Linked DNA regions of Oryzias latipes. The protein of the gene in region 2 purifies or fractionates together with the protein of the main gene of each other region. This does not show direct contact. Links are inferred from orthologs where the notes say so. Each region holds a gene or a part of one and is shown on either strand. Other genes may lie near its edges. The genes, in order: anapc1 and lethal(3)malignant brain tumor-like protein 1.

Region 1 (3,065 bases), on a different chromosome or scaffold from region 2:
AAATAAAGCTCCATTATTGTATTTAAGAGGTAAACAACCAGTTTGTTTAATTTAATTGATTGGAAAACCTGAAGGGCTGCATAAGTCATTAAATAAGGTGGCGACATTTTAAGTTAATTTTGAATCGTGAGTCACATTAAAGGCAAACAGCTGGATTAACTTCAGACTCAACAACGTGATTTTGTGTCAACCTAAGAGACAAAATACGTACTTGAAGGCCAGCTCCCCCTTCCCCCCATGAGTAAAAAAATCTATTCTTCACTGGAAGCTGAAGGAAAGCCTTTAATGTGGGAAACCACCCAATGCAGCACAGCACAGCCTGTTTGGAACCTACACTGACTTAAAAGAAAACTCTGTATTTACCACAGGGATGCAGCAATCACATCTGTGTTAAACAAAAAGAAAATATAGATGAAACAGAAGAAAGGCTAAACAAAAGGGCTCTGCTCTTTAGCTTTTAGTGATACGATCATAAAAGAACATGCGGGACAGACTGTCTTCTTAAACTTCAAAGTGGAGACCTACAACGAAGAAGAGAAAATAGGATAGAGGCATTAACAGAGCAACTGCATAAATGAGCTTTTTGTGTTAATTATTATGTTGTTATGAACCACAATAATCGTGAATTCTCCAGAGACGTGTGTTTATCCTGTTTTGGTTTATTAACAGTCAATGACAAGAATCCTCATTCACATCTGCACTCAGCAGGAAGAGGATGAAGCTGCCTGTGAGTTTTTCTAAAAGTCCAACCTCAGGTTTGTTGTTACACAACAATGGCACATAAACCTCATGATGACTGCACCAGACCTTTTTAGAACTGTAAAAAATCCTATATATAAGACTATATTACACAAAAACTGTCATTTCTGTTCCACTTTTAACAAGCTTAGAACAAGACAGTTTGTAGCCACATCCCCACTCAAGGCTACATAAACTTTGCATCATACTAGCAACATAGTACTACAGACTGTGTGTTGAACTCAATCCCATCTGAAACTGCAACATTAATCTCTGAGTCTATTAACCTGCCCATCAGTTAAATAGATCATGAAGAAAATGCCTGCAGAGGGAAACCCAGGAGACTGTGGGATCCAATAGGAGAGTCCAGCAGAATGGGTACAAGCCGGAGCAAGTCTCTCAGAGGGATACCCAGCTGGCTGCCGTGGGACACCAAATCCCCAAATGAAGTGCAGCCTGTAAGCAGAAAAATCACTGACGTGTTACTATGGTTGAATTAAAATACCCAACCGATCGCCACAGTGCAACTGCGACAGCATGAAGGAGACAACATTGTACCGTTTTGTGTGAACATCTGTTGGACTTACCCTCCAGCTGTGTATGCGAGCTCTTTAGAAATGGGATGGAGCGATAAATCAGGAAGCAGGCCAGCATCAAGGACTGGGCTTCTCTGGAGGGAACCTGCCCCCTCATGTAGGACCTCACGACAACACTGTTCTCTGCAGAAGAGAAACCACAAGGGTTAGCCTTTTTTTAAACAATTGAAAGTGTTCAGCAAGCCATTATAACAAGTTAAACTGTAGTGCCCCTTAAAAAAAAAACCTCTTATTCAACCGCATTACATTATAGAGAATTAGTTTTTATGTGCCGACAGGCTTCATTGAAAAAGTGTGCTCTAAATCCCCCTCTATTTCATGCCCACACATGGAGTGGAACATGTTTTCATATCAGTGAACCTCACAATTATTGTCTTTTAGAAAATACAGGATCAGTGAAGTGACACAAAACAATGTCAACTATAATGGCTTTTAAAGAGGCAGTTTGTCAGCCTTTAGTCTCATTTTCTCAAAGACAACTCCACCCTGACGGATCAGCTCCTTTATCAGCTGCACCCAGTTCAGAGTCAATAATTTTATAAGGGCGGTGTATTTGGTTTACTCTGCAATGCAGCAATAACCAGCTGTTTAAAAGGTGAGGGAGCAGCTGCTTAGCTTAAAGAGTCACAAACTTGTCACACAAATCAGTGACCCAAACAAGCCCCACCCATGATTTTGGGAAATACTTTAAGAGACTGATAGAAAGAAGCTGCATTATTCAGCCACCCAAACTCTGCTGAACTGCTGGTCAAAAATCCCCCAAATATGCTGCAACATGTGGCCTTTATAAAGAAACAACATAAAGAAAGCCCTTCTGATATATTTAGAACAGCATAATGAAAGACATTTAAGATATGATGTTTCATTCATGAAATATTTATTTAACCTGACTGTGTGTAACCAGAGACATTCCTGTTTTAATGCCCTTTAGAAAAGGCACTAAAATGTGTAACTTATGTAAAGTCTTCATGTTTGAGTTGCAAAGTTTTGTTAGATAAGTTATTGCCAAGGATGCACTTTTCTTTTGGTTCCTCAACAGAAACAAGTTAAACAAAACAATGAAACAGAAAGGTGAGTTAGAGATGTTGACATGATCCCTTCACTTGCTTCCCACGCTCCTAGGAGTGTGTTTTGTCCTCCAAAAACGTGTTTGTGTGTGGAAGGTTTGGAGGGTGTTTGTTTGGATTTATGCACAGTCTGTTTAACATTGAAACATGAAATTAATACGAAGGAAACAGCCTTTGCATTAAAACCAGCTGAAACATGTTCAGCTCATGTCATTGAAAATAGGTGTGTTTTCTCAAGCAACATGCAGTTGTCAAAAAAAAAAAGAATTTTTGGCATCTGTCCTTCAAGTCAAAACAAGAACCCTCCCTGCCAGAAGATTACAAACATATTTTTCTCTCAAGCACCACAATGTGTTTAAAAAGAGCCAACTGACTGCTCAGCTGATACTCCTCACATGCTTTTCTTGCAGATTGAAACTCCAGTTGAACACACCTCCCTTCACAGAGGACAATGCCTGTTGCAAAGGCTTCACAAATGTCCTGATGTCGACACTTTTAAAGGCTAAGCGTGGGACGGCGTACGCTTTCTACTACGTCTGCATTATCTGTCATCATGGCATATTTTACACTCTTGTTTACACCTTTTGAGCCGGAAAAAAAAATGGGCCAAAATGCAAAATCACCTTTTTTTTTTTTTAAATCAGTAACTATAAAACACTTGCAT
Region 2 (3,831 bases):
GCACAAAAAAAGTGACTTTAAATTTTTCATGACAGTAAAAATAACTTTTTCTAATGTTTCCACCACAATCAAAAGAATAAAATAAAATCCATCTTGCATATTTTGACTGCTAAAACATTTGTTAACCTATTTTATTTTATTATTTTTTTGCTGCCTTTCACATAAATAGAATTCTCTTCTCTTGAATGATGTGCTGTTTGGCAGTTTTGTTGTTTTTGGCTGATCGGTGTGGAAGTGAACACTGAAGCGAGTCACCTTTATTGTTTATGAGCTATTGTATAACTCTGAAAGTAATGAAATCACTGATTAACTCCTAACACGTTGGTCACCTTGGGGCGGCGTAAGGGGGAGGTTCCTCTCTTGGCACCAACCAATGGGATGAATGTATGGACTACTGGCATCACACCTGCAGCAGAACACCAACAAATTAACAGAATTACAGGAGAATACACGTTTGATAAATGCAGGTGGGAAAAATCCCAGAATCACCGAAACGGTTTGAGTGGATCAGGCTGTGGAGCGGCTGACCAACAACAGCAGACGCGTAATCTACATGAGGCATCAAACCTCAAAGAGATGACTGCTTCTTAGTGTGTATCATTGAAGAGACAATAAAGACTTCTGCTCTAAAAGGTTAAAAAAAAAAAAAAAAAAAAAACTGACTCATTGCAGTTTGTCATCACAATGCCAATGATTAACAAATCAAAAACCCCAGACAGAAACTGAAACTAGGCTCATTTTTTTCCCTCATTATTACAAAAAACCCTACCAATTAGGTGATTTATTATTTACAAATTCAATTAAAATCAGTGGTTTGTCTATTTACTTTCAGATAAATAACCCCAGTAAATAAGAATTTTTTTCTAGCCTTTAAAATGGGTTAATTGTTTGATCAAGCATTAAATTTACTATGAGAAAGGGCTAGTAAAAAGGTCAATTTAATTACTGCATTGAGCCTTTAAAAATGTGTATAATGGACCGATAGTTTTCCTCATTTAGCTGGTTTTGCCTTAAGAACTAAGCCAACTGCTTTTATCTGATTGGTCAGTTTATGCCTTGAATAACTTGAGATGCAGCAAAAAAATCATGTAAAAAATAGGATGTTAAATAAATGTATCAGTGCAACAAAAGTTATTCTGACAAATAGAAGTACTGGGTCCTATTTCTCCATAGAAGTCTATGAGGTTTCGGCTTGTTGGAACATGAGGAAGGAGGGGTCACTCGGTCCAGTTCTCATGTACAACGTAAAAAAGCGCAACAACCAACGATGGCTGACCAGTAGTCGTATGTGTCATCCCAGTTGTCAAAATGAACCAGGAAGCGGTTGTCCACGGCGTCGGTGACCGTTGCTACACAGATGAGGGAAGGGTTCATGCGGTCAACCGCCTCCAGCTTCATTCCAATCTCAAAGCCACAATTCACATCAATCTGAAACAAATAAAGGGTAAATAAAATACTAAATAAAACAATATATGTAAAGTTTTTATTATAGAGACTTTTTTTTTTTGGGACTTTGGCACTAAAATAATGTTTAAACAGCCAGCGATTGAAAAACAAATTTTATAAAAGTCTCCAACACCAGAAAGATGGATAATAAAGTTCTTAGTTGAACTAGATGCATGGAGAAAATTGAGACAAATGTTTGAGTTTTTAATGGAGGTGCTCTTTTTAAAGAAATGTTTCTTTTCATCAACTGTGTTGAAGAAAAGTATTTCTATAAATTATTTCAAAGACACTTACTCTGCCAGGACTGGAAAACAGCTCTTTAGGAGCCACTTGAGCTTTAGTCATTTTCAGGTAGTTGGTCCAAGTAAACTCTTCTTCTTTACATCCTAAAAAAAAGGACAGAAATGCAAGGAAAACCATGTTTTATGTCTGATTTGAATAATAACTAATTTATTGTTATCATCCATTAAGGATTTCACTTACTTTCAGTAATATACAGTACAAACCAAAAGTTTGTGTCAAAACATTTGGTCTGTACTGTGTGTGTGTGTGTGTGTGTGTGTGTGTGTGTGTGTGTGTGTGTGTGTGTGTGTGTGTGTGTGTGTGTGTGTGTGTGTGTGTGTGTGTGTGTGTGTGTGTGTGTGTGTGTGTATGTATGTATGTATGTATGTATGTATGTATGTATGTATGTATATATATATATATATATATATATATATATATATATATATATATATATATATATATATATATATATATATATATATATATATATATGTGATTTATAACTACTGTGGAGGGAAATAACGGAAAAAAACAAGCAGGAGAAATGTCGTAACTATTTTTTTTTAAATAAAAATGCTGATTAAAATAAATAAATGCTATTTGGATCTTTACACTAAATTATAAATAAAGAACCTGAATTCATGCACTCACTTTGCTACAGTATGATTAAAGTAGAGACTTCCCAAACGTTTGCATGCAAAAAAATTATATCATTTATAAGACAATGGTCCTTTGACGTGCATTTAGATCTATGGTGGTGTCACCTCTGACCTTTGGGCGTGTGCAGTTTGTGTCCTGTGCTCTCACACCAGCCAGCAGGATGGATGTCCAGGGAGTTGGCGTTCACCCAGAAGTCATGACAGTCAGAGTAGCCGTCAAAATGCAGCCGCAGCCGGTAACCACAGACCTGCATGACGGCATCAGCGCACATTAAGCAAAGCCAACCACAGAGGTCATCACCTCCCCAAACTTTTTGGCAGGCTGTCACTTATTTTTTGGAAGTGCCTTAATGATTAACAAGGTTTATAAGGCACGCTTTTTTTCGGATCTACTGCCCGACTCACCTCGGCAACAGTGAGGACGAAGTACATGGAGGGATGCTGCGGATCGATGCCTTCCAGCTTCATTCCCTGCTTAAAACCGTTCTTCACTGTAGGCACCCTCTGCGTCTGGAGAAATTTAAAGAACTCCCTTTGTAAAAACATCTAAATAAAACTTGGTTGACGCAAAAACACCCAAACCGCTTCAAAAATTAGGTTTTTAAAAAATGAAACCATAGTGCGAACTTCGTTAATCCTTTATTTATCATATTAAAAACAGTCAAAATGCATTTCTTTGTTTAGGTTAATTTTAGGTTTAGTTTCCAAGACAACCAATGTGTACTTTGGAAGACAAGTCTACCTCTTGGAAGAGCTTGCTCGGAGCAGCGACAGCTTTGGTTTCCTCCAGATACTGAGCCCATGTCCACTCTTCTGTTTTACTGTCCCCTCCTTCTCAAAAGACACCAGTCAGCTTATTACTTCATGCAACGGCCAATCAGAGTTTTTAGAACAAGCGCATCAATGAAAGAAAAAAGATGGAGAGAATCAAGGGGTGGAAGCCAACCAAAAACGGAAAAAACTAAGAATAATAATCTTCTCGTCTAATTTCATTAAAAACATTATTATCTCATTGGGAGAAATAATAGAAAAGGAGATGAAGAAAAGAAAAAAATATAATTTTAAAAAAGTACTTTTTCAGTATTACAAAAGAATTGCAAAAACAGCAACACATGTGCAGTTAATTCATTCATTCATTTTCTTAACCGCTTTTTCCCTTTCGGGGTCACGGGGCTGCCAGAGCCTATCCCGGCCACTTGTGGGCGAAGGCAGGGGACAACCTGGACAGGTCGCCAGTCTGTCGCAGGGTGGAATGTCCGCAATCACACACCCATTCACTCTCACACTCACACCTAGGGATAATTTAGAGTTGCCAATTAACCTATGAACGATGTTTTTGGACGGTGGGAGGAATCCGGAGACCCCGGAGAGAACCCACGCATGCACGGGGAGAACATGCAAACTCCGCACAGAAAGGTCCCCCGTTGATGTAGTTTTTCAC

What was found.
Region 1: the proteins of lethal(3)malignant brain tumor-like protein 1 (region 2) and anapc1 purify together in Homo sapiens (affinity purification with mass spectrometry; 4 studies listed by BioGRID and IntAct, counting the BioPlex papers as one, with this or other methods). This does not show direct contact. The link is inferred for Oryzias latipes from reciprocal best matches to the Homo sapiens genes L3MBTL1 and ANAPC1.

Annotation. Positions count from the first base shown.
Region 1 is NC_019873.2:15,506,822-15,509,886, forward strand, and holds the end of anapc1 (anaphase-promoting complex subunit 1), read right to left. Parts: intron 1,458-3,065; coding exon 1,326-1,457; intron 1,195-1,325; coding exon 1,046-1,194; 3' UTR 636-1,045; downstream 1-635. UniProt on the Homo sapiens protein: Component of the anaphase promoting complex/cyclosome (APC/C), a cell cycle-regulated E3 ubiquitin ligase that controls progression through mitosis and the G1 phase of the cell cycle.
Region 2 is NC_019865.2:7,371,725-7,375,555, forward strand, and holds part of lethal(3)malignant brain tumor-like protein 1, read right to left. Parts: intron 3,222-3,831; coding exon 3,133-3,221; intron 2,901-3,132; coding exon 2,796-2,900; intron 2,639-2,795; coding exon 2,503-2,638; intron 1,833-2,502; coding exon 1,741-1,832; intron 1,429-1,740; coding exon 1,277-1,428; intron 407-1,276; coding exon 330-406; intron 1-329. UniProt on the Homo sapiens protein: Polycomb group (PcG) protein that specifically recognizes and binds mono- and dimethyllysine residues on target proteins, thereby acting as a 'reader' of a network of post-translational modifications.